Daphnia pulex: one gene and its partner. The protein of the gene in region 2 interacts with the protein of the main gene of each other region in a pairwise test. Links are inferred from orthologs where the notes say so. Each region holds a gene or a part of one and is shown on either strand. Other genes may lie near its edges.

Region 1 (16,464 bases), on a different chromosome or scaffold from region 2:
CGTCCATGATTTGCGTTCCAGCTTACATGGCCTACGTCGTGTGGAGGCAGGAGGGCAACCTGATGGAGGTAATTCAATCAAGACATACAATACGGCAGTCGTCTACTAAACAGACGGTTATTTATTAATGAAAACTTTTTTTTTTGCTTTTTTCAAACAGAAACTTCGTCGCACGATGGACGAAATTAGGCCCAAGATCAGTTTGGAGGAGATACGTAACTGGCACGTGAAGCCTGCGACGCCCAGCAATGAGGCTGTGACGGCCGTCTAGAAAATCATTTCTTGTCGTCCGTTTTGACCGCCAGCGGACTAGTAGTCACCTATTCTACCAACTGTCTAGCGAACGACTGATTCGCCGTATCTACATTTGGATTTGACGGCGTCATCTTTTGTTTCATATCAGTTGCTGTTTCATTGGGTTTCATTTTTTGATTTTTCTTTCAAAATTCCCCCCTCTTTTTTTACTTGGATTATTTTTTGGGTTTTTGGTTTGTCTCTACGATCTTTTTGGTATTCCAATGACTTTCCGACTGCATCTGCTTTTGGCCGGAGCTGTTCACATGTTCAATACGTCTTCCATTGCGAGGCCTCATAATATTTGAATCATCCACTCTATTATTGTCTCTACATATAACGTTCTTGGTTCTTCGTCTTTGATGTCGATTATTCTACAGTCGATTCTTCCATGGCGCTCTTCGTCAAACCAAACAAATGTGTGTAAGTGTTACGTCTCCGAGTAGATTTTTGATGATTGGTTTTTTTTTGTCGTGTCCACCCGTCACGTCTGATCTTTTATTTTCATTTCCCTCAACGAATTGTTCCATATTTGGGATCCAACTTTTTTACGATGAAAATCAATTCATTCCTTTGTACGGCAACATATCCACAACATATCTTGGATATTTCTCAATGTTTCTATTGCTTGATAGTTAAACCCTCTCCCCACTTTGTCCCATCATTTGATATTTGGATAAGTCGCACAATCCCTTATTGTGCTCTGGTAAAAGAAGAGCAACAGAAACTCGCTTGGTAAATCGCTAGTTGTAGTATCCGTGTAGTTGTTTTTGCATTGCCGGATTGGCGTTTACCTTTCCCCTATGGTCTGTACTGTCATCCGTCAAATACAAGTAAAAAACAAAACAAAAAAAAAAATTACAAAAAATCTTACATAATTAAATGCAAAAAAATCCGAAAAGACGCTTTGGACCAGAGCTATAGAACCCAGATACTATCGGGTACTATATCCTAGCTCTGCTTCGAAATTTACCGCTTTCCTTAATCGGCAGAATTTAACATTTTTGAATAAATTCGACAAGTAGGTATTTGAAATATTATCAACTGGTGGTTGAGCCGATTGAGTTACAAGTTTACAACTTACAATTGTCACAATTTACAGATTGTCGACAGAGCTATCTACATATTCTATTTCTATAGCTCTGGCCTGGTGTCTGGCCCACTGGCTCTGTCCTCTGTTGTCGCCTTGTCGGAGCTTGGTGTGGCAGAGAGAGAAGGAAATTTGAATATCCGGCAACACCGAGGCTCTGAGAAACCCGGGAAACGGCTGTCTTTCCTGCTGCTCTCCTGCTACCGTTTTCTGCTTGGTTCACACACCAGACAGCCCAAGTACGAAAAATAGTGTGATTAGTGCCCATAAGGTAGTATTGAAAACAGGCGTTTGTAGTATGCGTTTGTTTTGATTAGACTCAAAATATTCAAACGTTCAACAAGATGGCTGAGGCTGAGAGTGACGATGACCAGAGAACGGAAAATAAGTCCAGTGATGGCATGAAAATGACTGAAGAGGAAATTATTAAAACACGTAATGTTACTTTCTACCTTTCCTTTTGTATGTTTGACACTTCTAACCTATAATATTATCAGTTCTATCAACATCTGCTGTCAAGATGAAAGATTTGGTGCCAAGTGGCCCTTTAAAATCTGAAAATGCTATGAAAGTGGCAAAATGGATTCTGACAAGCAATTCTAAAAAGAGGAGTCCTAATGCGATTTTGCAGCGAATCAAGTGGTTGACAGCAGTTGTTCAATATGGTATTGTTGACTCTCTAGTCGGACTTGAAAATATGTTAACTCCTTTAATACAGCTGATCTACACTGCCAAATATGTAATACTCATTTACACTTGATCTAATTTACATTATTAATTAAACATTCAATATTTAACTTCTATTCAGCAAGCATCAGTTTGCCACCTACTCTACATGATTGCAACACCCAACATGTACAAATTTCAAGTGGAAAAAATTACCAAGAGCGTTAATATTGTGGGCCTTACAAAGCCACTAGGTAACTGATTTTTTTACAGCACATGTTCATAATTCAGCCTTGAAAACCAATTAATTTATTAATGCAGCTGGTCTTTTGAGTCGTGTGAAATCCCTTCGCCCTGATTTGGTTCCACAGACTATCCCTCATCAAAGCGATGCCATCTCGTTTCCTCAAGCCCCATTTTCGATACGGAACGGTCTGTTCGCGCTTTCAGAAAGCATCAAGGAACGCAATGAAATACCCAATCAAGTTACTTTCTCCATCGAAACTGGAAAACAAAGGGTACAATTTTTTTTTTCACTACGCTCCCTTCATGAAATTAGTCTCTAATTCCGACCATTTAAAAATAGACGAACAAAAATATGAGATTAGACATCATTCCACGAGTTCAGCACTTCAATCTGAAATCCTCTTTTGAAGTCGACTTTCGAAAAATGGTGCCCTTGTCTCGATTACAATCGTAATTAAAATTTTTCCAAATAACTTTAAAATTATTCACTCATGTTCTAATAATTTAATATACAGATTTGATGACCTGCTGAGTCAAATAACTTCAGTTGAACTACCGAATCATGTAGGATCACTACTGGGCAAGAAAGAATATCACTATGTCCTGTCTTTTCATTTCACGCCGCGCATGGAAGCGCTGTTATCTCAGTGGCTTTATAATGTTCTGTATCACGGTTTGTTGAATTGCGCATGATGTTTTCAGTATTATTATTCAATTTAATTATTTGATGGTGTCATCAAAATGAAGAGTTCATGGAAAGACCACAGGTTCACGGCAGAGAAGGAAAGACGCTACTTTTACAGAGAATCTTAGAGTTCCAACAAAATACTGGACGGAATCTCATGGTATCATTAATTCTCTTTTCCTTAAACTTTAAGAAATTATGTGAAATTCTTTTTCTTTAAGGTCGTTTATAAATTCCTATCGTTATATCTCCAAACTTGGGATGGAATTCAATTCCGTGATCAAATTTTTCAACTTTTGGCGCAAATTCCTTTTCTCTCATACCCTGGTTTGTTTTAATCATTAAGTTAATTCGAATATTTGCAGTAAGATTGAAATTTTTTTCCTAATTCAGATCTTTATGGAAATTTCTTGCAAGTTTTGGAGGGTTTGTTTCACTCCTGTGATACATCACATCGATTAAAAATCATCGATGTATGTCGAAAGCTCATTCATAATTTGGTATGTAACTGTTGTTTCTTTTACAGCTCATGCATTGAAATGAAACTTAAAGACATTTTTTTGTAGCTACTTCAACAATTTGGGTCTGTTAAAAAAGCCAAATTATTATTCCAGAAATCGGAAAAAACAGTTTCACCAGGTAGTTCATGTATTAGCTTTTTTATTTAACCACCTGCTAACAAATATCCGATACTTTAGATGAGATTTTGAAGTTAGTGGAAGGTACCTACGTCATCAACGAAGTTATACGTTTTACCGAACGTCTTTTCAATACGGCCTTAACGTCTTCCTCCGATTCTTCACTTGTCTTAAATTCCCTTTTGTTTCATTTATGGGTAAGCTACTTTTTGAAGTCCAGTTAAAATAACATCATCTAACAAATCTGATGCGCAGCTTATTGATCTGGAATCGGAGTTTAAATTGCCATTCCGGACCTTCTGTCAACCTATTGCCGTTTATATGGCCTTGTTTTCACCGGCTCCAGTGACCGTTTCACTTGTATGCAAACTTATGTGCAAGTAATTAATTCTTTTATTTTTCAAGCTAATAAAGATATTTATTAACTGGAATTTCTTGAAATAAAGGTACGGTGAATTAGGGCGAAATCAACTGATCGCTATGTCTCCACTTCCCGAATTGGGAGAATTTCATCAAGATTCGTTGGAGGAAGCTGCCAGATTGAACCGTTATATTATCGATATATCGAGATGTTTAGTTTATCACAAGGTTCCATTTTGACATGCTTTTCTTCATCATGTATCATTTTGAATATTTATATGTTTTCTCGGCAGGCCTTTGCACCAGGCGGAAATTCGATGTTAGCGCTATTACCCCGGAGAAACCTGAAAAAACTGTCCAACTTGGGTTCTTTCCAGTCATCTTTTGTTTTGGAAAGACATCCTGCATTTACTGGTGAGTCATTGATTTTTCGTGCTTAATCTTAATACTAATTTAATTTACTCCCGTATTTTAATTTATGCGTTGTTTGACGTAGGTATTTCCCGTCGATGGCTCAAGTCTAAATCTGGAAATGAAAAGTCTTTGAAGCTCTTTGAAGAAGTTGATGCCGATTTGGTTAGTTCTCTCATAATTTTGAATAAACAAACAAACAAAAAAAAAAAAAAAAAACACAAAAAAAGATAAAAACAACTATTAAGATTAATTTGATATTAAATTTTTTTTTCAGGATGATTACACTCGATACTTGTTGGGTCGTTATACTGCAATAATGGACTATATACAACAGTTCCATAACAGCACTTGACATTGTGAAAATGAAATGTAACAGAATATTCTTCGTCTAAGATTCTTCAATTTCTTGAGAATTTTATAAGCACAGTACTTCAATAAAATTTGCTCAAGTTAAAAATTTCTGTTTTATTCTTCTTTAGTCAAATTTTAGCAGTAAAAAATGTATTTTTTCAGACTATACATCCTTTATGAGCGATACGCACATCGTTTTTCGGTTAAAGAAACTAGTGTGGAAGGCAATCGGTTTCCCTACATGAAACACCGTTGCTTAAACAAAAAACAAACATCGTGCTAGCGAGTGCCAAAGTCTGTAGTCAGAACTGAACGTAACCTCATCTGAAGTTAATTAAAATTTTGGTTTTCCTCTCCCGTTTAAATTGCATTTGTCAAAATTAAATACTAAGCAAATAACACCATTCAAACGGGAAAAAGCCGTCGGGCTTTTTATTCTTAGTAAAAAAATTATATATATGCCCAAAGAATACGGAAAACTGTAATCGACCGTAAGCTCAGTTAATTATTATGTAAGCCGTTGCTGTCGTTGAATATTCATTATCATTTATGTCGCCCTTGTCTTTCCTTTGTCTTTGTTGTGAAATTCAGTGAATTACAATCTGTTAAAACTATAGATCACGATATTATGGATTACGTAATGAGCGCACCGGTCTCATTTTTCCTTCCTACACATTTCACGAACCATCATTTGTCACCTGATAACTTGAACAGATTTTCTCAAAAAAGTGAAAACGTTATGATTGTTATGTAAATAAACATTTTGACTAATGTATAAATTAACTTCTGCAGAATCCGATTGCGCAGTAGTGGATCAAACCTGAAAGGCCTCAATAATAATAGGCGTTTCATGAGGTTTTAGCTATTACATTATGAGGAAACTCACGGTAGTATTTTATTCAAAATTTTGTAAATTTTTCCTTGTGTGAGAAAATTATGTTGGCTTACATCCTGTAAAACGACAAAAAAAAAATTTGAGTCGCGTGTTTTTCCCCAATCCGTTTATGAATAATGAATGAATGTGAAGTGGACACTAGAAACGTTAGCAATGTTTACTAAGGTTTTAAAACTACTTCTATTAATTAATGGAAAAATAACTATTTTTTGCTTCTAAGAATGATAAGATAAGATTACAAAATTTAGCCGTACTCATATGTTTAAATATAACGTTTCTTTCAAACCCTTTAACATAGTACTTAGCACTAGAAGTAGATTAGTAAACCATTTTTACCGACACGGAAATAAATTGTAACTATTTACACAGCGTTTACTAAAAATGCATGTTTAATTGTTGTCATCATAATCTTGAAACGTTCGTTTATATTGTCGTTGGTTAATTTCCCGGCAAAAATCTAGCTCCGGTCAAACGAGCCTGAGTCGCATTATCCGTTAGCGTTGGTTCAGGAGGAGATTGGCTACTGAACCCTAACGAGTGAATCCGATAGATCTGTGGAGATGGTAAAAACAATTATTTTATAGGAATTTAAAACAGAAAATCACAGTAAACATACATCCAGTCCTGATTGCTGATTTGCATTGTCAACTGAATGTGAAGTCGAGTCATTGTTTAAGGAAAATGTATTTTGATTTTGAATAATAGATGAAACAGTTGGAAGAGGTGAACTCTTTATTATTGTCTCGTGGCTTGGAGTTGACATTTTTTTCTTCGATGTTTGTTTTTTACAAAAATGAACTTTCACAACGACGTAGACCACTAACAAAAGAAAGAGCACAGCTGATCCCAAACCAAGCACCAATCTGTAAAATTCCAATTTAAGCACACACATATTTTTATACTACAGACGTTCTGAAAAATTGCCGAAGAAAATGATGTCAAATGTGTTTCTCTTACGCTGTTGCTGTCATCGAGTTATCAGTCGGATTCTCGTTGGGATCCATTATTGGATGGACTGGTGAAGCCACAACGTCAGCTGAATGATCTTCATTTGCGGCGACTAATGATCCCTGATTCATCAGCAAGACGTTATTATGATCGAGGCTTGAAGAAGATCGAGAAAATTTAAGATCGGAGTGTTCGTTGCTCATTCTGATATCCTCCGTAGAACGACGGTTGAATTACAATTACAGTTTCACTGGCACCTTATTAACGAGCGCGACTTGACTCGAAGGGAAACTCACTCTAACTGCTGTAAGCTTGAGTGTGTATCCATTCACCTGTATTCCTACTTTCCTAGCCGTAACATGTCATGAACGCATATTAAAAACACACACCAGCAACACGTGACAAATTGTGTTTTCAATAATTCCGTATCACGACCGTAACTAATGTAAAAAGCTGACAATTTTCCGCCTTCATAACATTTTTCATTAATAACATTATACATAACTAATACCCCAAACTTTGGCCATGCTTCCAATACCGTACCTGACTTAATCTCCATCACGCTACTTACAACAGGAACATGATCTGCAAATTCATGGTTCAAATCAGGCGACCAAAGTCCCCTTAAAACAACCATCAGTCCATTTGAAGCAACTGCTTATTTTACTGATAGGTTCTACTTGTACCTTAGAAACTATTTAGTGAGGCGACATTATTTGGATTTTACATAAATCTAAAGCAATATTCCGCTCCCTTGCTGCGCGCGGCACGTTTCATTGGAATACACACTGAGAATGTATATGGTAACCAATTTCAAACTTTGGCTTTGGCCGCTGGGAATCTTTGACTTGTCCGTGAAGGCCTGTCGTTGCCGAGTTCGAGCGCTTTACGATTGCCTGTATTAATACGAGATGAAACAAAATAACATTTCCTCAAATTGGCTGGTGTTGCTATACCTTCTTCATCGACGCACGCGGTTTGTAATATCCGTTATATCTTGAAGGCAATAATATATATAGGTGACATTTTTATATTACTGCCTTCATCGTCGTAATTCAGGTTTGTTTTTTTAAAAAATGTGTAAGTTTTGCAGGCATCGCACCTTTCTGTCTCCAGTGTACTGAATTCTGTCGGATTTAATCCCTTTCGCAACTCGCCACAACCCGAAATGCTAATCGTAATGAAGAACTTGTGTGAACGTGAAGAAGTAACGTTTCTAATCTTCCTTTTGTTTGGTTCTTATTGAGCTCACAGGGATTGTTTGTTTACTGGTTGACGTCCTGTCCCGGCTTTGTTTAAATGAAATAACCATGAAAGTGTCAATGCAAATCAGTTCCAGAATCATCCAAAACTTTCTTCTCTAATATTATCGTCAGATAGGGTGCTACCATCACCCTCACCGACTAGTTCCTTTACAACTCTGATGGCCGTCTGAGACTTGTGACAAGTAACTTTGTCACGTTGACACGTTCCATGCAAAACCCGGTGTTGTCTAGACTGTAACGAATTTTTAGCGTCGTTTGTTAAAACATGTCTACAAATTTTTGCATATTAAAAACTATAAAGCTTTATGTTACGATCTTACTTTATCTGTGGTTTTTGCTCTAATCCAAGACATGAAATATATTCGAAATTATCGACTTTGAATGAACATCAGAACCACATGCAGCTGGAAAAACAATATTCTTTTTCAGTTTGATCAGCATGGACAACTTTCCTCGAATCCAAATGAGACTACCGACATTTCTATCTAAACTCATGTTTACAATCAGTCTACAATTTGCATATCAGTTAATAAGACGGCAAGAAACGTGTAAAACTAATGAAGACGCTTCGTTCAACCCAAGAGTTAATGGTATGACTGATCAACTAAAATACCCTAATCCATGATCCAGTCATAGAAAATCGTCTAACTGCCATTAGTTCGATATTAAGGTAAGAACAGACCATTTTGGATAGAAACCATACAACGAAGCAAGACAGATTTATGGAACTCCTGATGTATTTGCACAAGACACAAAATTGGCCCATGACTTGACACAAAACAGAAGTGGATTGAATTCCCTTTAGTCAAACAAACCTACAATGAAAAAAAAAATGGTTAGATTGGTGTGCAAATTTTTAGAGATTGTAAGTAACATACCAAAGCCCATGTCATCATCCTCCTCTTCGGACTCTTCCTTCTTCTTCTCCTCCTTCTTTTCCTCTTTGGCTGCTGGGGCGGCAGCAGCAGGGGCTATGAAATAAACATATTTGTTACAGTACCACATTAACAAGCACAAATAAGATATATGATGAAGAGGCTTCAGACTGCAAGGAGTTTTGAAATCACAGTAATTTCATACGATTATTTAGCGAACCATCCGTTTATCATCATTTTAAAATTAACATCTATTGACAGCGTGATATCAAACTAGTATTACCTGCGGCAGCAGCTCCAGCTGCTGGGGCGGCACCAACTCCTGAGCCGACGTTGGTGATCATGCTCTTAAGGTTAAGACCATCCAAAGCCTTAGCGAACAAACCAGGCCAGTATGGTTCTACCTTAACATCGGCAGCTTTCAAGATCGTTTGGATCTTTTCAGCCTACAGTTTAATAAAAATTGAAGTTACCAACATGTGCAGAACTCCGATACAGAACAGCCCAGTCACCTCAACCATCTTGACATGTTCCGGTACAAGGATAATTAACAGTGTGAAAAAATATATTTACCGTGATGGCTACATCATCGTCCAAAAGAACGAGAGCAGCGTAGACACAAGCCAATTCGTCTCTGCTTTGATCAGCCATTTCGATGAAGTTTCTGAACGGATGTTAACAGATAAATGCAAGTCGCCACAAGGAAGGCCTTAGCTCGAAACGAGGACAAGCAAAAGAATGGAACTGAACGAAGCTATTTTCCTATGAGCAGGACGTCTGGTGGCAAACGTCGCAAGTTTCGCAGGGAAGTTGAGTAAACAGTAGGTAACCGAAACGAGTTTTAACAATTGCAAAACTTTTTCCTTCTTCGAAGTTAAACATTTATAAACATGTTTATAAATATTAAAAAAAAATTATATTTTATTGAAACTAATTAAGTAAATCAAATTTTGTCGATTAAAATTGCATTTCTGTAAATTTTAGAGCGGGAATTACAAATCTCATGCTCGTCATGGTAGGTACCAGGTAGTAATCGTAACTGCCGACCGTCACGCAAATAAGAAAAGAAAAAGACTAGGGATACAATCGTGATGCTCTGGCGTTAGCAAACGATTTGCGTACTATATAAAGATTTTGTATATTTTTTTGTAATTTTCTATCAAATAAAATAAAATTGAATTTGAATCAATTAGTGAATATTCTCTATTGCATATTTTACTTTTTAAAATCTGGTTTCTGATTGAAATTTAAAGAGTAATAATTGAAAAAAAAAACACTCACAGCTATATCCATTTCATTATTAACTGGCAGTGTTTGTTCGAACGTATGTTTTCAACTTTTTATAAATAATACGCGATTACCAGAGCTGATTACGCATAGGACAAGTCATATAGAAAAGAAAAACCACCAGATTTTTTCAACTAGAGATTATAAAGGTATATGGCTTTTTCTGATTGTCCAAGATTTCGCTTTTATTTAAGCTCTTTCGTTTGTTCCTACAGGTAAATCAATGAAATATTGTACGGGAAAGCGAATTTTCCCGTTTCTTACCCTTTGGTTTTAAAATAAATAAATTGCCATTTGAATGAAGCAAATTGGATTTTCAAAATTCAATTAAACTCAAAACATCATAATGCAAATAGAGTGACATGTCGAATTGAAAAAGTAACCGCGTAACTCTGTTATTAAGACCTAGTAGCTAGTAGCCAGCATTGTAGTTATAACTTATAACACGATTCTTGAAACCGCTAGGTGTCCTAAATTTGAGGAGGACTTCGGCAAATCAGCACGCAAACACTGAAAAGTGAAAAGTTGAAAACCACTTGTTGCAACTTGCAAGCCAGTGAAATATTATTCTGATATTCTCAAACGGCATAAAGTAGCGCGTTTGAGAAACTGAGTGACAATCGAAGTACAACGAATATCTATAGTTCAGTTTTTGTTACTAAGAAAAAAAAAAACTACAATGGAATTCAATGTTAAAAAACTTGTAGGAGATGCTGGAACTTTGTTTACACGAGCGGTTCAGGTATTTTTCTGTCACTTTAAGACTGTTAATAGGTTATGTAACATTATGCCTGGTTTTGTTTATGTACTTTTCAGTTTACTGAAGAAAAGTTAGGTACATCTGAAAAGACTGAGTTAGATGCTCACTTTGAAAATCTTTCTCAAAGATGTGATTTAACAAAGTCATGGACTGAGAAATTAGTTAGGGATGTTGATTCTGTGCTCACGCCTAACCCAGGTATGAATATTCCAAAGTCTTTATTTTCTTTTAATTTCCCTTTTTTTTTAAACATTCGCACAATTAATTTGAATTCTAGGGAATAGAGTAGAAGACTTTTTAATGGATAAAATTGAAAGAAGAAGATTAGCACGTCTGTCCAATTTGGATTATTTAGGAGTAGACATGGTTGAGGCTGGCAATGATCTAGGGCCTGGGACTTTATATGGTTAGATTTCAACACATTTAATTATTTTCCCATTTTATTGATATATATTGTAAATATTGTAGGTAGTACTCTGCTGAAAGTTGGACTTTGTCAGCAGAAACTGGGTGCTCTTGAACGTGATTTTGCTACTTCTGCAACTCAAGCCTTTGTTGATCCTTTGAAAAAGTTTATGGAAAGTGATTTGAAAGTAAGTTTAAAGGTCCACTGGTATTGTGTTGAACCAGGAGTTTATTAAACATCTTTCTGATAGTCAATATTAAGAGAAAGAAAGTTACTTGAATCTAAGCGCCTGGATTTGGATGCTGCAAAAAATCGCCTTCGAAAATCAAAGACACAGTCTAGTCGACAAATGGTACTAAAATTTAATAATATCTTAAACATGTTTTTATGAAAAATGTATCACCTAGGCTGAACAAGAGGTAAATTTTGCCCAGATAGAATTTGACCGTCAGTCTGAGGTAACTAGGCTGTTACTTGAGGGAATTGGACCTGCTCATACTTCTCACTGTAAACATCTACAAGTAGGAGAAAATGTGTAATAATTTTAAAATACTGTATTTACGACATTGATCCATCCAGGATTTTGCAGCCGCCCAAGCACGTTATTTTCTAGCCTGCAGTGCAACTCTTCAACAATTACAAAAAGAATTGGGTGCTCTTAGCTTGCAAGTTAGCACCTCTGATATCACATTTAATAATCCTAGTACACCTGGATTATCTGAACGTAGGAAAGCTCGCGTTATCTGTGATTACGACAGTCAAGATATTACCGAGTTATCACTTATTGCGGGAGAGGTATTTATGAATTACGTTAAATTCGAATATAATATAATATTATCATTTTTAATATTAGGTTATTGATGTTGTAAGCACTATTCCCAATGACCCAGATTATGTACAAGCGGAAAGAGGACACCAAGCAGGAAAAATCCCTTCAAGTTACTTGGAATTTATTGATCAATCTCATAGTTCATGATATATTCAATTTTAATGTTCACTTAATATTAAAAGCTAAATAAATTAATATAAAATTTGAATTCCATGAAATGTATTTCCTGTTAACAAGATTCCACAGAAATGTACTCGAATACAGATTTTGTTTACTTCTTTTTCGAGACACCAACTGTGCGTCCACGACGACCAGTAGTTTTCGTATGTTGACCACGAACTCGGAGGCTAAAATGCATAATGTTTTGTCAAAACAATGAAATATGAATGATAAAATAATGAAAAAAGTATACCCCCAGTAATGACGTAGACCACGGTGAGCGCGAATCTTCTTCAATCTTTCAAGGTCCTCACGAAGCTTGTTCTCAAGCATGTTGGAAGTGACCTAAGAAAAAACAATGATACACAATCCAAATGCAAAGCACAAATGGGCAAGTTACCTGAGAGAATTTGCCATCCTTGATGTCCTTTTGCCTGTTAAGGAACCAATCAGGGATCTTGTACTGTCTAGGGTTGGCCATAATTGTGATCAATTTCTCGACCTGAATGTAAGTTGGTAATACTTTAAACGCCTGTAAATTCTTAATTGGATAATTAAATATACCTCTTCCTCTGACAGTTCACCGGCACGTTTAGTCAAGTCGATGTCGGCTTTCTTGAGAACGACATTGGCGTAACGTCTACCAACACCTTTAATTGAGGTGACGGCAAACATGATCTTGATTTTACCATCGATATTGGTGTTGAGAATACGCAAAATGTGTTGAAACTTCTCAGGGAGTACCAGCGACTTCAAGTAACATAACACATTAAAAACAAAGAGAATATTATTTACTATACCAACAAATCGTAGGACAAAAGTAGAGAAAAATACCGTACAACAACCTGCATTACTTTATAACTATTCAAAACTAACGATGTCAAAGATTTAGTCAAATGAAAATGCTTACCATGGCGAAAGGATGTTAGTGTAATCCGTAGACCAACTTGCCAGGAAAATGGAAAGAATTGCAAGCTGAAGCTGCACACGAAATGAAAGAAATGTTAAATGCGACGCTGCCAGATTAATGTTTTGAGTCGGTACGCCATCGCTACGGCGGAGGCCAGACGGCATACACCAGTTTAAAACAAGGGAATTACATTTTTAAGATTCCTACACTTGAACTTGTGGCGCCAACTACAACGGAATCACGTATTTATTTACTATTGCTACAGGGGTACCCCTGATTGCTAGATGGCGAAGGTCGCAGTTTGAAAGTGAAATCTTTGAATAAAAAAATCCGCGCAGTCCGCGAGTAGAGTAGTAGATCTCTGCCGTGAGCGAAACGAATTGAAACAAAATCCGGGTTGTGCATTTTGATTTCAATCCTGAAACTAGTGAAAGGAAAAAAGTAAACATACAAGTTAAGTCCTATGGATTGGATGAAATAATGGAATTATAGATCGCTAGAGATTTAATTCAATGTTTAGAAAACCTAAAGCTTGTGTATTTTATTATCATTTTCCTTTTCATGTAATTTATGTTGGAGAACAATTCAGCACAACTCTTGAATTTGGTACGTTTGAAATATTCAGTTCATGCTTCTTTCCTTTAATTAGGGACCAGGGACACAGGGATGGGACTTTTGATTCTTCCCTCCAGGACAGTCAATGGATTCTAGTCGACGAACGAGAAAACGACGCGACATTAAAGAAAAGGGGTCAACCCAAACGAATTCCAAATAGCATTTTTCCATTAATTTAATTTTAATAAATTAATGAAATTTAAAAAAGTTATTATGTTAAACCCCCTTAAAAATATTAATTCCATCATGAATTATAATTATAACTTCGGTAAAAAACTTCGCTGGTGCTAAAAGTGTCTTAATAAAAACAAATTGAAATGATAAAAGCACATTGTAACAGAGAGTGGATAAGTCGATAATAATGTCGAATTCAGTTTAATTGTTCGGATTTAGTGAATACAGTAAACGATTTTTTGCCGACTTTATCTTCAATTATTTATATTTGTTCGATATCCTTATTTCTACACCTAGGGTAGCTGTAAACGATGCGCGCGCTTCCTCTGGGAGAAGTGTAAGGTGCGATGTCCCCTGTGTTAAAAGATAGGGTTATCGAACAAATTAAATTGTCAATTACCTGCGTTAGCAAGGCACCCGAAGGGATGTTTGCGATTTTTTTTTCATTAAAAACTAGATTCATTCATAAAAAACAATGGTCATGTTGTTTCTTAATGCCAAATGACAAAAAATTTTAATTGCCTGACTAATGGCGCAATTGAAATCCATGCGTAGTTCTCTATGCAGACTAATCATCTTTTCGAAATCGAAGTGGCGCTTTTTGCACTTACACGTATCCTTCAACAATTAAAATTAATTTTTGTATTTTCGCTTGATTACCATCTAGTGACAATCGCCAAAACTATAGCCATCTAGTGTGCAATCGAGTACTAAACCCACCCATGCCAGCAAAAAATAAAAACGTGAGTGATTAAAAACCCTTCGGGTATTATTCATAAAACTAAAACACCAAGATTGGAAGGAGGAAAATTTTATCCATGATAAGTTTAAATGAAGACGGGCTATCGAATGGCGTAAGTCGCGACCCGCTTCGCCGTTCGAGAATGGCAATATTAGCCATTAAAGTTTTCTTCTTTAAATGAAGATTGCGTAACCTTACTATGACTAATCCAACTCGACGAAGACGAAAACCAAAAAATTTAATTTTTTTAAATATTTTTTTTTGTTTTTGTCCGATCTCAATTACTCAATCTGCCGCTGTTTTATTTATGTTTTAGTAAAAATTCCGCATTGCGCTTCCGTAAAAAACCGGAAATTTGGAACAACACGCTCAACCACTGATCCAAAAAATTTTAAATTTTCACAGTATTATGTACAACCATGACTTTCAACACAGTATTTTTTTTTCATCATAATCGGTGAGGTACCGCGACAAAAAAAATAAAAAAAATACCATGGAATGGGAATGGCCCAATGTTTTTTTTAGGTCTGGAACAAATTATGCCAGATAACATTTTTTATTTTCTAGGAATACAATTAGTTTTTTTTTGATTTTATGTAAAAAAGCCAAACACAGTTTCCCGATATATGGATAGGTGGCTCAAAACAAAAAAATCGCCGTTCGGATTTTTTTGTAGGATACTGTACATCCATTTTTGGCTGCCCTTCCCTTAGTTATAAAAATTCGAAAACAATTCCAGAAGTAGCCAACTATTATAGCTATACTAAAAAACATTCAATGCCCTCCGTCAAAAACCCGATTTTTGGGAACACCGCGATATTCGACTTTTTACATAATTTTCTCTCGAGCGCTTCCAAAATTCTGGTAGGTACTGTACAAGACAATAAACAACATTGACAAGCATTTCAATGATTCAGTAGTAAGTCTTATCGCAGCTTCCAGCCAAAATGCGTTACAGCGATCTTTTAGTGGAGTTTGCAAACATAAATTGAAGTCGACAAATTGTATGCATACTCAATTTGTTTACAAAGAATAGAAAGACGTCTAAGGCCGATTTGTCGCCAGTTGTCTTGTCTCGTTTTGCCCATGGCCATCAAATATATCAACGACCACAAGACCTTCCACTCTTTTCTCAAAACATATCTTTATCGCTCCGTGTACTTCCCCAATTGATTTCAAACTTTCTGTTCTCCAAAAATAACAAAACAATGGTACTTTAAGCGTTATTTGATCGAATGTTATGTCGTTAAAATGCGCTACTCTCATCAATTGTATGAAAATTTGCTCACCTAAGACCTTGTGTTGATGCGTTTATTAGTTGTGTTTCAAAGTGAGTTTTCTTCTGACCCCTAACGGTCTCACCCCTCAAACATTTTTCAGCTGCCGTTCAAAGCGGTTATATGCCATCGAGTAGTTTCAGATAAGGTTCAAGTTCAAGTGCAAGGCATTTAGAGGCTGGAGATTCCATGATTTCCGCGATGCGTCTTTCTTCTTAAGATTTGAGAGAAGACGATAGATTTGACCAGTGATCCGTAGTAACATCTCCCAGCTATATATAGATGGGTCAATGACATTCCCGATTTTTTTCTCAGCATCCTCTTTCTTTGATGAGACAGTGAGATGAAAACTTGTTGACGTTTTAAACTGACTCACTGACCAAATGGGTCACATCTTTCGATCGGTCAGCCACACAGCGGCGGTTTGACACTGAAAAACTAAGTAGTTCAGTGGCCCACGCCACTTGTTTGTGAAAATTCACTTAACAAACCTGCAAAACACTTACTATTTTAAGTATTCACTTACTTGATTACTCCTTTTTATGAAACAAGTATGAAAAATTGCTCTAAGTATGAAA
Region 2 (16,292 bases):
TTTAAAATTACATACATTACTAAAATTAAAAAGGAGGCGGAAAAAAATTAATTAGCAATCAGGGTCATCATTCATTTCTCATCTTCTTTCATACTCCTCAGTAAAAACTCGTATCCACCTGATTCCTCAAAAAAAGGAGTTTGGCCTCCGTTTTCGGCATGGAAATTATCTATAGACACATTATAACTAACTATCTATAGACACTCAGATTAACACTTTTAGGGCAGGGACGATGTCCAGAGAGCTTCTACAATTCTTCTTCTAAGTAAAAATTTTGACGGATGCCCAGGTAGCACACAGACTCTGGTTCAGGTCTGTTACAGATCTGTTTTTGAGAGTCTGTAAATTGTTTGGAGTGAAACACTTTTACAGACTGTCATACAGGTCTGTGACAGATCCGTAAAACGGGATCACCATTTACAGACCAAAAACAGATTTTCAAGAAAAAAATAATTTGCCTCCCTGTGGTATCGAACCATCAACCTTTGTATTCACAAGCCAGTGCGCTAACCACTACACCATAATTCGATAATAATTAACAGATATATTTCATATTTATCTATATTTCACAGTTTTACACTTGTACATTCAACAAACAGTCTGACATGTCTCTCTCACGAAACTGATTGCTACCTATGACTACCACTGGTCTCTTCCGATAGTAACAAGACCAAGATTGGCCCCACACCAATTACAAGTCTTTATTATACCTATTTACGTGATACTTCTCCGTCCGGTGGATAAACAACTATTGTTGTTGTTCGAAACGAGTAGGCTTCTGAACTAAACTCATAGCCATTAGCCCTGCATTGACTATTAGAGTGTAACTTCTTACTGCATGGTATTGCAGTGATATTACACATATAAGAAAACGTTTAATTCAGTTTTCCATTGGGAATCCAAACATGTACCATACTTGGGATACAGACACAGATAAGATGATTACTGACTTATAGGTGTTACAAGGGAAATATAGACCCGTGCATACCTGGGGCACAAATACAGAACAGATAATCACTGAACTAAGTTTTACATAGAAAATACAGACCTGTAACATACCTGGGGTACAGACTCAGAACAAATTATTACTGACTTATGTCTTACAAGGGAAATACAGACCCGTACCAGACCTGGAGTACAGACACAGAACAGAAACATATTGTACTCGGTAATACAGAGTAAAAACATGCATGTGACATACCTGTAATACAGAAGAAAAACAGAATGTCTTTCTACAGAGTAAAAACAGACAAGTGACAAACATGGGAAACAGAGCTAAATCAGAAACAATTTTCTCAAGTAAAAGACAGATCTGTAACAGGTCTGTAGTACAGTTAAAAACCAGATTTATGTATTACAGAAAGATAACAGATCTGTTCCAGATCTGTGAAACAAACTTTAACCAAATCCTGTAAAACAGAGCAATTCCAGACAAATTTCCTGTAAAACAGAGATGTAACAAGCCTGATACGGATCTGTTTCACAAGTATGTGAAACAGATCGGTTACAGGAGTCTGTAACAGCTCTGTGTGCTACCTGGGTGTTTTGATATACCGTTATTGTCCTTTCCCATGCAAATATCATAGAACTTCGAAGGGCGAACACAATTTATAGTGATGGTAATGGGCAGGGAGGGCTTAAAAATAGTTGGTTGGAACGAAAGCTTGGAGAGTCAAAAACATAATTCACCAAAGAAAGACATAACTGTTGACTATATGGACTAACGGCATTAGCAATGACAGAAGGACGAATGTTCTCATCTACCGACATCTGCAACTTATCTTATAATAAAATCCTTGACCGTAGAGAACATGTAATTTGTCTTTCATTACCTTTATTTTTCTCTTTAGTAATTTTTCCATTTCTTCTTTTGCTTTCTTTACTTGCTCAAGCTCTACTTTTAGCAACATATTTTCTTTTCTCCATAATGAAATTACATGATTTGTTTGTGAACAATGAATGTGGTTTGCAACAGCTTCACTCTTCCTTTTTACGTCCTGAGTACGCCACGCAGGACAGGAAGGGAGAAGGTATTTGCAGTTGTGACGTGCTGTGAAGGAGGGAGAGGGTAATACTGACAGGCAATATAATTGAAAACGTAACTAAATAGCCATTGTCAGTTCAATATTGATGATTTTTCTCTTGAAGGCTGATGTGGAATAGTTGTTCTTATTCAAGGCAACACGCTGATGTCACCCATCTGCCTTTGACTGCCGTTGACCACTCGTGGACCTTCAAAATGTTTTTTTTTAACATTCCATCGATCCATATTGATTTAGAAACAAATGTCTCGAATGTATCGCCATCCACGTTAAACATGATGGTAACGATGAAATAATCAGAAGTATACTAATCCATTGGCATCGGAATCTTTATAACTGTCTGGACGTTTTGTTGGGTTTTGTCAAAATGTCCCTTTACTGCTTGTTTCATCAAACTTAAAACCAGTACGGTGATAATGGGTTTTTTAATCAACTTTTAAAGTTCATCCCCAGAAAAGAACTACACTAAAGATGCACCATCGCTTCAAAAAAATTTAGTTAAGGTTCATCAAAAGACATTAATGAAAAACCACTAATAATTCAAAAGGAGGTGATAAAATAAAGAAAGTACTTTCTAGATACATGGAGAGACTAAAGCAATTGAATCCATTATTACTTAAATTTTTTTGAATGCTTTGAAATTAACTACTAGCTACGTAACTATACTTTAGTTTACAACATTTAAAATTCATTTAGATGATAAAAAGTGTTATGATCCGGTATGTTAGAGAAGGCCGGATTCTAGGAGGGGGAAAATAAATAAAAGTTGACGTAAGTCAACGTGGAGTGGACAACGGAGAGTGGTAATCGCGATGGAAGGGGAAAGACAAAGTTATTGCGGAGCATGACGGCAAAAAGGACGGTCAAGGGAAGAGAGTGGTGATACCTGGCTTGTGAGCTGAATGGACAGAGTGTAACAATGTGATGGACTATTTCAAATAATTTTTGGAATTTCTGTAGACCATACTATGAATGGAAATTCATGCTGCTGTGGCATTGTGTTATGTTTGTGGTACATAATGTAATTAAAGCAATTTTAAATTTATTTTATTAATTCAATAAAGTGGACTCCATGTGGGCATAGTTTAGAAAAACTTTAAATGTGGGGTATTACAGAGATGATTTCACTGAGTTGGGTGTATTTTATATGCTTTTTTATTGATTTCCCTAATATTTAAATAACATAGTTTATTTGAAAATTAATAGTTTTTGAATGTCTTCCACAGTTATTTTCGATATTTATCTCAATAAATTCTACAATCCTCCTTAATATTTAAATACTAAAATCAATTGGAAAATTTGTTTTTTTGAATTTCTCTAATATTTTGCAGAAAAGCCTTTTTCATTAAAAGCCCTCATATTTAGAAATTATAATTTCTAATGATGATTTTATTTGAAAGTGTTATGGTTTCAAAACTTCTTCGTCACTTATTCTCGCGAAATTAAAATTCTTAAACTATGCTTAGAGCTTCAACTTAAGTATTAAAAAAGAAATACGGCATTTAAATATTCAAGAGATGTTTATTATTTCCCTGATGTTTAATTGCCATAATTTACTTGAAGAGTTACTGTTTTATATTCTGCAATGATTGCCGAGAATGTCATCTTTTCATTAATTTTTCTAATATTTTATTATCACAGTTATTTGAAAGCTATTATTTTTGTATGTTATCATTGTTGAGAAACCATGAATCTCCTGTAATGCTACGAGCACCACGTAAATCACCTAAAAGAAACAATGGTAACATCCAGGATGATGCGGGATGTATCCGATCATTTGTACTCCCCTGGCAGTAACCACTCTTGAGATGCAAATAAAAATTATATCAGTACATGATAGCAAGAAATATAGAACTCCCTCGGGCGTTGAAACCTCTTTATCTTACAACCAGGAGATTCAGTAAAATTTATGAATTGATTGACAATGAAGTCCTGACGTCTCTGACCAATAACTTCATCAAATTATATCACTTATTTTCAACCCTTAAGCCATAAAAACACATACATTTTATCAATGCAATTTTAAAGTCAACAGCTTACAAGGCTCAGATATAGTTAAAACATATGTCCCAGATGAAAAAAGATAAGCCACTGCTACCATAACAGTTCTCCAGTTCTAAAATAAATTTCTTTTTTCACTTATCTCATTCGAAAAATAATTTTCTGTTGCTTTCAGTCTACCTCTTTTCACTTAAGTATTTGTCATTAGTAACTTCAGTGTAAATTACTTGCAATATCTCATTATCGGCCCACGGCCAGTGACAGTTTATGGAAAAACCAACTTTCTGTTTTTTTTGTCTCCTTTAGCAGAAGAATTTCGTTCGTAGAGTGGTCGATTCTTCTAGAAACGTCTAAAAACGTCTCCTACAGGAGACGAACAAAGGGATACAGTCATCAAAAAAATTATTAAAAATTAACCAGATTGAATTGGGGATAGAAATAAAAATTAGTTAATAAAGAAATGAATGAAGTATTCACTGTTAGGAAGAAAAAGGGGGAAATCAGAGTCATAGATAAGAAAACAATTTTTTTAGCAAGAAGAATTTGATTTTCCCATAAGACGCTGTAGGCGACACAGACCAACTTGGACAGAAATGAAATTTTCGCATTTGCGGAGAAATCGCAACGCAGAATGTCCAACTGCCCCATAATAGAAAACCAAGGGACAACGAAATTTTCTAACCAAGTACCGGTTACATTAATCGATATTGCAATATTGCACATAATAAAGGCTCGCGATGGCTAAAATAGGTAAAAATTTAAATAGATTAAGAGTGCTAGTAAAAACGCTACGGCGGGTTAGATTAGGAGTTTTCATTGCCACTAGATGTCGTTACGCGAAAGACTGGTGAATGTACAGGGATAGTTTTCACGTCTGTACAACTTTTCTAGCTCTTTCTTAAAATGCTACTAACTTATTTACAACGAAATCAATATCAATGGGAATTAACCTATGGGCTGCAATATGAAATGGCTAATCGATTAAACTATAAACATCAACGAAAAAACAATTATTCGAAACGTAGCGAGGGTCCCCCAATTCCTCATGCATAACATAAAAAACAAATGACAAACGACAGCCGCCTTAGCCATCTCTAAACAAACACAAGTTAAAAATGGACAAACCAACCTTTCATCACAAAATATACCCTATACCATACAGTTTTACATGGAAAATCCAACTGTAGAATAGTTCACCCAAAAAACAAAGACTCGAGGCACAGGAGGGTCCCTAAATCCACCAACCTGCCACCAACCAATCACAGCCCGACTTTCACGAACAAAATTTGAATTTCGATCAAACAAATAAATATATAAAATTGAATAAAAAACCAACATGTTTCAATTTTGGAAACATTGGAACGAAGATGAATACGGCGAATCACATAAAAAATTACTGAAAATCGAGAAAATGACCCGTTTACACGCTGGAACCCCTGGGGAAACAATCAACAGTTTGGGGCCCATAACCAAGGCATAGCCTTCCATCTTTTACCAAGGTTAAATCTCTCAGGGAAAATTTGGTATATTAAATTTAAAAATTACAACAAATGCAATATATTATATAAAAAACCGATTGACTTTATTAACAAATTTATATTTTCTTTTGAAAAAAAAACAAGTTCATCGTGAAACAAAAGTGGTACAAACGGTATTCCATAAAAGTATTTGTTGTGAATTCAGAGATATCTGCGTAAAGAAAATAAAAGGTATGAAGGAGGGTTAAGGTACATATAAACTGTGGTAATTGTGACATGCATTTCCAAATGAAGGTACTGGTGACGAAGGTTCTTAAAAAAATGAGGTACTAATGACATGACCCCTATCAGAGAATCTCTTCAGAAGAAATGTTTGAATGGGATCAAGGGGGACGATTTTGTTAGGCTTTGAAAAATTAGAGACAGAAAATAAGCAAAAATAACAGAAGTGAACTCAGCAAAAATTCAGGAAGTCATTGGTAGCTCCAGATGCAAAGCTGGTGCTAAGTTGTTCTTCTTAGCTCTACAGGGAGTTGGTAATTTCTCATATCTATATTTCATACAACAATTGAGTATTTATTGATTCGTTTATTTTTTTATTTAGGTCTCTTTATGTGCTTCACGCGATATGAAGAACTAAAGGAATTCTCTGGAGCCAATAAGCAAACGCTGGCCAATTGGCCATTTCCACAAACCTGGCCACATACTTGGACTCCGAGGAAAGTTGGCTTATGTTTCGCATTATTCTGGTAAGTTTCATGGTCGTCATTGTCTTAATGCTCATATTTTGGCGCAATTACATTCGTGGGGCTATTGTCCTCATCGACAAAGCCAAAAGCCAGCCAGTACATTGAATTAACAGTTAATTGGCAATTCTTCATCGTTTTTTAATAACTTTTTTTGTGATTTTGTTTTAGGACTGTTGGTAGTCTAACAATCTTCCCTATCTTCCCTTGGGTCTTCCAAGTTCTTTGCATTGGGTATTTTGGGTCAGTTTCACTCTAAGTGGCCTCGATCGGTATTTCATCGTTCTAGGTGGTGGGTCTTGAAACTGGCTTTACCCATTACTTGGTGACGTTCCTCCAGTTTTACAACATTTTTGGTCTGGTATGGGTTCTATCCTTCGGTTCCGTCATGTCTGAAATGGCATTGGCCGGTGCCTTTGCCTCCTAGGACTTCAACACACCCACAGACAAGCCGTTGTACGGCTTGTTTTCAGCATTAAGAATTCTCTAGTATTTTCAAATTTCATTCGTCTGTATTTGTTTCTCATCATCAATCAAAGGTTTGTTTTTTAAATTATTTTTGTGGCAGCTTCAATATTGGGACAGCCACTTTAAGAACTTTGTTTGCCCTTTTTCGGCCCATTTACATGTTGCTTGAATGAGTCAAACAAAGAGAAGGCTTTCACGCAGATGACTGTCTGTCATCCCTTAAAGTGTTTTTCCTAGTATTCGAATCACTGCTTTATTTGTCCGTTTAGATATTTAAGCAAATGCTGTTCCTGGTAATATATATTTATGTATTCAGTAAATTAATTAATTCCTTAAAAATATTTTGGTTTTCATTTCAGGTTGGTGGACAAATTTCTACTTTTTGGCAACAGACAAGTTCCTATCCTGTGCGCCGTTGATGGCACCGATTTTGGCCAATCGGCTGAAAAGGCAGAGTCACTAAGTCCACGCAACGTCACTCGATTGAAGACAATTACAGCAATTTTGTTTTTTATCGGCCAACTTGGCATTGGCACCGCCGTGGGAATTGGATGTTTCTAGATCTTCACTTATGGTCATTTTCTTCTTGTTCTATAAATCTAAAAAAAAATCATTAATGAAAACAAGGAATTCCATCACACTCATCTTTCTCTTAAGTGATAACTAGGCCGCCTCTGGCCGACGTGCCTCAGCATCTAGATGTAAACGCTGCTAACAAGATGAAAGCTACCCAGCAAAAGGTAAAGACAATTATGGTTGATTGTCATGTTAAATAGTGTAACGGATGTCTCACGCTTATCATGTAGATCCGCTGACCCATGTAATATCAGCACTAATTAGCCTATCATATAGATCCGCCGACCCATGTACCGGCACATATTAGCCTATCATATAGATCCGCCCAACCCAGCATAAAAGGGTCCGGCAAAGAGCTCCTCGCTCTCAGTCTCTGTATTCAACGTTTATCGTGACTTACAATACACGTCTTCAATCCTATTCACCGCCTTGTTACAATAGTATTAATACTTTTTTATTGGTGAAACAGACAGTAGCAATTGCGAAGTTGGTCCCTAACAATTTGAAAGTTCTTGAAGACAAAGAGAATCGAGAGGAAAGGTCCAAGTCTCTCAAGGTGGAGCAATTGCAGGAGGAGATATATCAAAAGAATCTTAAAATAGAAAAGCAGCAGATAGAAATCGACAAGTTGCGAGATCAAGTTTCGGAATATCGGACATACTACAAACGCGAATGTAAAATTTAGTTTGATTTTTTTAAAATTCCTAATTTAATCCATTTTTTTATGAATAGTAATTGAAAAGGCACGCATTCTTGGAAAAATGGAAAAGTACGACAGGGAGAAGGCTAAATTGGAAGCTAAGGCTAAGGTAAATATAACCACTCCTTTTATTACAACGTAATCTTAACTCATTTTTCTTTTTCTCAGACGCAGAAGAAAAGACATGACACAGAGTAGTGTTAGGTTGTAATCCGGGTAGTTAATTTAAGTAAATTAACGGAGTGTATTAAGCGAGGCGAAAGGAGCTTCTCTCTACGGACTCAGCCGAAACCAGACTGCCCTTCTTCCTGCTCGCTGCTTCCAAGCTTCAGCGCTTGAGCGCCGCACGACATCTAGCGGTCGCGGGAAGAAGGGCACAATAACACAACAAGTAGGAATTGAATAAGAATTTTCTGGTCATTACATTCATGGTTAGATCTATTGTCACGACATATGTCGTGGCGCGACGGTCAAAACTGTCTATTGTCACGACATCTGTCGTGGCAATAAAGAGAAAATTGTCTATCACATTTGATAATGGATCGAATTAAAAGACGAAAAATAGATTTTTGGTTATAGCGCTGGCATGATAATGAAGAGGGCCATGGTTCAAGTCTCATTATAGATTTACTTTTTTTTTAGAATAAAAATATTGTTTTGACCCATGCCCTTTGTTAACCATGACTCAGACAAATCAAAATTTTGCGGTAGAATTTTTTTTCACAAAATTTCATAGAAAGAACATTGAATTTATAGAAAAATTCTGATAAATTTGGAAGGCATTTAGCAAAAAGTCCGACTTAACAATAGGCCCTGAATTTTTCATTTAAGACAGTTTTCAACTGGCTTACGACTATCCCTTCGCGGCGAGCTGATAAGCTTGCTTTTCTATCTTTAAAATATATATATTCTTAAACTGTCCGAAAAAGCCCCTTCTGTGGGGTGAAACCGGACAAAAAGTCAGTGAAACTAAACCGTTAATATTTAAGCCATTTATTACTAAAAAACATTTTCAAAAGAAGTTTTTGAAAGAAGAAACCCTGGGCTACATTTTGGTGCCAAAACAAATACTTTTCTGAGCTTGCACTTAAAGAAATATTAACTATAAACCAGTTTGCTAAATTTTGTCCGGAATAGCCCCTCTTCCCCTACATCTATAACTCTGGTTTGGGAACGCGCGATATCGCTAGAGCAGAGCTATAGAATACTGGTAGCGCCACTGCCATGTTAACTCTTCCTCTCGGAAATTTTATCTGGGGCTGAAGCCAACTTTAGCAATCGATAGTGAAAATCGGAGATAATCGGAGCTAAGATATCGATCTCGCTCCTTGCCACTCCTCCACTTTTCCCTCCATTCCTATACCATGCCATGCGAATACCCTATTTCCCCACACACCCGCTGTGGTGCTTTTAGCTAAGGAGCAGGGCAGGCTTCAATTCCAGAGAAAAAAAGCAATGGAAGAGCTCGTCATATGAGTGGCGGTACCAGTATTCCATAGCTCTGGCTAAGAGAATAAAATTTCAGTTAAATTGCAACGTTGTCAATGCCAGTTTCTGTCAGTCTGCTGAATGCTACTATTGCTTTACCATGGCTTGCATACAATCCTGTACGAATCGCGTCGGTTGGCCTAAAAGTGAAATAAAAACCGAAATAAAAACTGAAATGTCAAACATGAAATTCAATCAGGGATCTTTGACGTTGCACAGAACTATCAATTTGTAAGTATTTTAACCTTTTATGGAAATAATGCCACATGAAGACAAAGAGCAACAATGTTTTGATTGAAAGAAAACAATGTTATTGAACTGCTATTTTCAAACACTTATTGACAGCAACATTCTCTTTATATTAGGTACCCTTTGTCAAACTACACATTTGGAACCAAAGATCCTTTATTTGAAAGAGATCCATCAGTTCCTGCACGATTTCAACGAATGAGGGAAGAATTTGATAAAGTTGGAATGAGACGAAGTGTAGAAGGCATCTTACTAGTTCATGAACATGGGCTACCTCATGTTTTGTTGTTACAGTTGGGAACCACTTTCTTTAAACTGTAAGAGTAATTTACAAAACATCACCTTTCATTTCTAATCTTCAACTTTTCTTCAAAGGCCAGGGGGAGAGTTAAACCCAGGAGAAGATGATATCGAAGGGTTGAAGAGACTACTAACAGAGGTATTTAAAGAAAAAAATTCACTAGTTTATTACTTTTTAACACCCTGTCTAGATTTTAGGAAGACAAGATGGTGTAGTGCAAGATTGGCTTATTGAAGATTCAGTCGGAAACTGGTGGCGTCCAAATTTTGAACCACCTCAATATCCATATATACCTCCACACATAACAAAACCAAAGGAGCATAAGAAACTTTTCTTGGTTCAGCTTCAAGAAAAAGGTATAAATAATTCTTTTCGTCTTGAGCAGTTTGGATATTTTAGTTATTTTAACCCTCTTAATGAACATGATATTTATTCTACATTAGCTCTCTTCGCAGTACCCAAAAATTACAAACTTGTTGCTGCACCCCTTTTTGAATTATACGACAATTCTCAGGGATATGGTCCCATCATATCCTCTCTTCCACAAACAATGAGCAGGTTAAAACTTTAATCACGGTATGATTTTCTTGGGATAATCATTAGACTTTGTTTGTCAGATTTGATTTCATATACATGTAAGGAAACTTCACAAGCCCAAGTTCTCTACACAGTCCAAAGGCGAGGGTTCTGCAAAATAGTCTCAACAATTTGCGTGTTTTTTTATTTGTGGCAGTGACTTTGACGCTTATCTAAGTGAAAGAAGAAACGAAGGCTCATTTAATTCGTTAATCGTCTTAATGTGCGGCTGAATTTGATTCATTCAATAAATGCTTATAAAAGCAAATCTCATTGTGTTCGCGACGCAAGTCGACCATTCAAGTTCAAGAAAATAAAAATTCTTTGTTAAAGGTATGGATGAAACGAAGTAATTCAAGTATATATTTAGTGTAACACTTGGTCGAAAGCCTTCAGACAGATTGGGTGGCTAACCTACTATAATCCTCTCAGACCCGAACGGGGAAAAAAAAGGCTTGACAGTACATTGACAAAGAAGAAGCGAAGTGAGGTCAAACAGTAACGAGAATCGACAGGGGGAAAAAATCAACTAATCTCCTTGTGGACGTGGATTATCAAATAATCCTTCGGCAATAATGAAGAACGTGACCAGTGCGTCGAACGAAGAAGGGGGGGGGGGAGTAAAGAGCAACCCGAGAACAAGCAGAGGGAAGGAGAGAATACGAAATTTAACTCTGGTCGTTGGTAATTACATCAGAACGTGACTCGTTACTCTCTCGATCCTCCACATCGCCCTAGCGACCTCAAAGTGCGCCGTTGAAAGAAGGGGAAGAAAATCGAATACAACAGAGGGAGGTCTGAGAGGTGGTGAAAAAGGAACGATAAAGAATAGATGGACGAAATAAACCTCCCGTCAAACCCAGAATTTCAACAAGGTAAGTGATTTCGTTTCGCTGTTGTTCCCAATCGTGACAACTGAGGCAGACTTTATTTGAATATTCTCTCGCCGGAAATAAGACTTTTCTTTTTCTCCCATCTTCATCCCCAGCGTTCCTGGACCGAGCCTCAGCTACTGTCGCCCCGTTCAAAAATCCCATTTGATTTAGTTTTATTCTTGTTATTTACTTTCATGCCTATTACACACCGTCGTCCCATTTTCACAAGGCGGTCGCAGCGTCGTTTTCCGGCTGATATTTTCGGGCCGATAGCAAAAAAAAACGATTTTCTATCCTCTCTTTCTGTAGTCATCGGCTGCCGAGTCCGAGCGACAGCAGAAGCGCTAGATTGGCTTTATGCTAATGCGTCCCCGTTAAATGGCGTGGCGGGGAGAGAGCGCCGTAGATGCTCCGATACCAAAAAAGCCGCATAGGATCTGCATGAAGCGGCGGAAGAAGCGCAACTACTGAAGCGCTGCACTCACGAGAGGGGAAGAATAAGTAAAGAAAGAAAGAAAGAAAAAGAAAAGAAAAGGGAGAGCGCGTGCTGGCGAGCGAACGAACGGAAAAGAGAGCCAGAGATGGGTGCTTCCCCGTACAACATTACCCTATGAATGAGTTTCCTTAATGCCTTCCTTGCTTGTCCGAATTGATGGGTTCGTCTAGCTCTACCCCCCTCCTTTTTTTATTTATTATCATTTTCTTGGCGTTTTCAACTTTTTCTCGTCTCTCCATCGGCTATTGATATGGAGAGGAGATGTCGCTTAACGGCTTTTACACGCATCAGAGCAGGCGAGAGTTGCATGGGATATTATCCGAGGTCGAAGGCCAGGTGTCCGTTATGCGCCACAAGAAGAAGAAATAAAGGGCCTAGCTCTCTGGCTCTCCTTTAAAGAATAGAGAAAAAGGGAAATACTTGTATTACGTAGCATACTATATGTAGTGGAGGCGGCGGCGGCGGCGGCCGTTTCTTTCTTTTGCCAAAGGTTGCGTGGAGATTGGATTTGGTGAATCTACCTCGTTTGGCCTTCTTCTCCTTTTGATAAAAGCTGGGACTGTTGTTGAGATGCTAAACCTGGTCTTGATCGAAAGGTTTTGATACGAACTCGACAAGAGGTAATAAGGTCTCGTTTCACAGTCGAAATATATGGGCAGAAAAAGAGTCGAGAGGCGGAAAAGCTAAAGATGAAGGAGAAAAGACAATTTCATTTCCTTTCGGGGGGGAGGAGGGGGGCTGGCCTCTCGCCGGGCAAAATGGAAATGGTGATTCGTTTTTACTCGGCTGCTGACTCTCTTTTCTCTCTGTGTGTCTTTATAATACCTGTTGCCTCTTTTCTATAGATCTTTCGAGAGCCCCCCCAGCTCTAGCGCTCCATTTTCGTTCAACCTGTTGTTAACGCGCACGGCCAACTTCTCGGACTATAAAAAGGGACGATATATGATAAAGTGGGAGGGAACTTGGAAGACTCTATAGTAGTTTGTTCTGTTGGAAAAGTGGCAAATAGAGACAAAGAGATGTGTGCGGCCGCCGTCCTTACTGGAGACTTGGAGAGACGATAAAGAAACAGGATGGGAAGGGGAAAAAAAAACAAAAAAAACAAAAAGAAGATGAAAATATACAAGGAACCAACTGGTTGGGTACGGTAGGAACGGCGTCGTAGTTGTCGCAGAGTTGGACCCAAGTTTAAGGTAAGGAGTTGTGTGAGGGAGTAAGACAAAGAGAAGCAGCAGGCCGGAGACTCTCCAACTTTCCCTTTTGCTGGACCATCATCATCTCTAGATGAACGACTTTAGGCCCGTGTCCCCTTGCAAACTTGAACTCTTGGCTGATGGCTAATTGCTTTGCAGCAGGTCGAGGACTCTGGTTGAAACCGAATTGAGTCTCCATACGTGGACTTGTACTATACTACGACTCAATAGAGTCTCTCTCTCTCTCTCTGCTCTATATTCTCAACCTCTCTTCCTCCCCCACTCTACTCTTTCTCTCTATATCTCGGTCCGTCCGCCTGACTTGGCAATCTCAAAGAGAGCTCGAGCAAAGTGGGCGAACCTGTTCCTGGCTCCTGTTGGGTTTGGTTTCATCGTAAGATGAGATTTGACCGAATCGAGCGTGTACGCTAATCGAACCGCACTCGGTATAGGCCTTCCCAACTTCTTCTCGAAGGTCACCACCCTCCGTCTCTCCTATTTCTCCTGGAAGTAAAAAAATTGGGTAAAAAAAATGTCTTTCCTACTATATTCAGACTTTTTTATACCATCGACTTGCGTGTTTTTTTTTCTTCTTCTTCTTCTTTTTTCCCCCCTCTTGGGCTATCCGCCTTTTCCTCCCTCATTTCTCCTTTGCTTCCATTTCTATTGGCTCCTGCCCCTAAGGTAGTCGAATACACTGCACACACATATAAGGGACGACGCCGTATAGGACGGCGCCGGTGGTTGGCAAAGGCGGCGGCGACGGATGAGATTGTTAGTCGCATCCCTCGAGCGATTGAACCGCCTTCGTGCGTAATTATATTTCGCTCTTACATGCAGACGTCAATGCCGAATAGAGAGACCGAGAGAGAGAGACGACGTATGTATGTACTACTACTGTATGTACGTGCATTCGTTGTAACATATCAAAATGTAGGCTACTATCCAACAAGGGATGCTAGCCGAGAGAGAAAATATCTATATTACAGCTCCTGTATATACACACGCACACACTGCGCCTTCTATATATACTTGTACACATTCATGTGTAATGGATGTCGTCGATCTACGCCCCGAGTCAGATTGAATTGCCTTTTCTTCCGATCGATCCCAATGCATTTTCTCGCTCTCCTCCTCATCTTCCACCGCCACCTACACCTCCCCCTCGTAACAGGACTCTATACCGGCTACCATCAACAACTGCATGTACGCCGAGAGTTGGGAAATAGAGAAAAAAAATATAACCTTGGCATCCATATCATCATCATAATAATAAAGTTCATCACGGGTAGTCGGGTACGTTGGATCGAAGCCGAAAAATCGCTAGGCATCGAAAAAGATTTTCTGATTCGGCCGCGGTTTCTTTTCTTGGCCACGCCGATGAGAGGCGCAACCAAGCGGCGTTGTTCGACGCTGATGAGCGGCGACCGACCGAGACCGAAGAGGAGGACTCAGCCAGTCGTGAGAAATTCTCGGGGTATATATCTTGGAGCTCCCGCGTGTGTGTGTGTGTGTGTGTGTGGTGGCCCAGCAGGATCATTAGGGCCGTTGTCTGCCAACAATCTGATTAGGTGCGTGTCGTGTAGAGCGGGGGGAGAGAGATGCTGGGGGAAGGAGAAGAAGAAGTCAACCCTCTCTTGATTCCCGCACGCCTGATGCTGCACAACAGCTCGCTCTTTCTCTTTCAGTCGCTTCACTGAACGCGCAGCCAAAGACAAAGCAGATAAGACCCTATCCCCCCTCCCCTGTATCTTCCGCGTCTAGTAACAAAACAAAAACCCGGCGGAGATGAAATAAGATCATAAAAGAAAATGAAAAAAAAAAAAGAAAGGAAAGGAGGGGAAAGTAATCAGAATCGATAGTACTATATAGTGGCGGCAAAATCAAATTCTGTTGCTGGCGTAGCGCTTGGCTGCCGCATGCCAGCCAGGCGCGATTTAAAGTGGACGACGAGGCGCGTTCTATTCTCTACTCCTCTTATCCAAAGACCGCTTAGATATGCATCTTTCTCTGCTAGAGAGAAGAGTAAGAAGCCGTCGAGTCTCGCCATCAGAATGGGCCTGTTCAACCCACCGTCACATCAAAACATCAAAGTCAGCGTTTATACTGTTGGAGAGAAGATTGCCATGACGCCAGCGAAAGCCGGCAACACAACAATACGTCAGTCGCCAGATATTCTCTCGCCAGTCGTCCGTCCTCGCTTTACGCGACTGCTGAATCATCATCGCTGGCTGCGGATGTGTATTGTGTTGCCAACGCCGAGAAACCGATCATCAAGGTGTCGTCCAATTAAATTCAACCCACTGACGCCGGCGCCATCAGCGCGGATGATCGAATGCCGCCCGTGTGACGCAAGAGCACTGATTTGGCACGGCTGTGAAAAATATCACGCGGCCGTTCTTCTCTTTCACCGCGAGGCCCCAATATCTTCCGTCTCGAAGCGTCGCTAAATCGCGCTGACAAAAAATGTTGCCCAATGACGGGAAAAATTCTTGATAATGACGCGCCCACGAAATTATCTTCTTCTGACTCTTTTTCAAGTCCCATTTTTGGGGGAGGTCGTTCTCTTTATAGTCCGCATTTAATGCGACCATGCCCGAAAAATTCACGATTTCAAAGATGTAGTACCGGTATAGTGCCTTGCATTATTTGGCAATGTACCAGCAATTCTTTTTTTCAGTTTTTGGGGTCGTGTCCTTTTTGCTGGTCCGAGTGCCATCAGTGGGCAGAGATGGGGGCGACAACGCGTTCTCTTTTCCTAGACGTGGAAGGAGCGTCGTCCAGCTTGTTGTGACAGGAAAAGTTTCATCAGATATGGCCACTGTTCGAATACGGGGTGGGGACGGCTGCACTGGCATCTATTTTGATAGAGAGAGATTGCCGGCCCATACATCAGAATTCCCGGTATAGAAAGAGAGATCTATAGTGTGTCTATTTGGATTGGGCTAAAGTTTTTTGGAAACAAGACAACGAATCGATAAAGCTCATTTGATATCGATTCGGATATGTCGGGTTTGATACGGTTCCCTCGACAACAGGTTCTCGTCCCTACTACACACTCGGCTGTAACGAAGAAAATCGAACACGCGGGAGGAGGGGGGAC

What was found.
Region 1: the proteins of cleavage and polyadenylation specificity factor subunit 5-like (region 2) and 60S acidic ribosomal protein P1-like interact in a two-hybrid assay, tested with the Homo sapiens proteins (2 studies listed by BioGRID and IntAct). The link is inferred for Daphnia pulex from reciprocal best matches to the Homo sapiens genes NUDT21 and RPLP1.

Annotation. Positions count from the first base shown.
Region 1 is NC_060024.1:492,479-508,942, forward strand, and holds 60S acidic ribosomal protein P1-like, read right to left. Parts: upstream 10,262-16,464; 5' UTR 9,379-10,261; coding exon 9,301-9,378; intron 9,174-9,300; coding exon 9,011-9,173; intron 8,824-9,010; coding exon 8,731-8,823; intron 8,668-8,730; coding exon 8,654-8,667; 3' UTR 8,572-8,653; downstream 1-8,571. Other genes in the region: sodium- and chloride-dependent GABA transporter 1-like, read left to right, coding at 1-68, 161-271; centromere protein I-like, read left to right, coding at 1,729-1,819, 1,882-2,123, 2,193-2,304, 2,372-2,568, 2,637-2,746, 2,812-2,969, 3,044-3,141, 3,203-3,308 and 8 more; uncharacterized protein LOC124201206, read right to left, coding at 6,078-6,191, 6,256-6,502, 6,597-6,790; endophilin-B1-like, read left to right, coding at 10,694-10,756, 10,831-10,972, 11,052-11,180, 11,243-11,367, 11,431-11,532, 11,588-11,701, 11,760-11,975, 12,034-12,156; 40S ribosomal protein S18, read right to left, coding at 12,281-12,356, 12,422-12,513, 12,569-12,670, 12,733-12,918, 13,079-13,081. UniProt on the Homo sapiens protein: Plays an important role in the elongation step of protein synthesis.
Region 2 is NC_060020.1:7,574,961-7,591,252, reverse strand, and holds cleavage and polyadenylation specificity factor subunit 5-like, read left to right. Parts: upstream 1-9,470; 5' UTR 9,471-9,599; coding exon 9,600-9,730; intron 9,731-9,864; coding exon 9,865-10,065; intron 10,066-10,123; coding exon 10,124-10,187; intron 10,188-10,239; coding exon 10,240-10,405; intron 10,406-10,492; coding exon 10,493-10,607; intron 10,608-10,666; coding exon 10,667-10,688; 3' UTR 10,689-10,893; downstream 10,894-16,292. UniProt on the Homo sapiens protein: Component of the cleavage factor Im (CFIm) complex that functions as an activator of the pre-mRNA 3'-end cleavage and polyadenylation processing required for the maturation of pre-mRNA into functional mRNAs.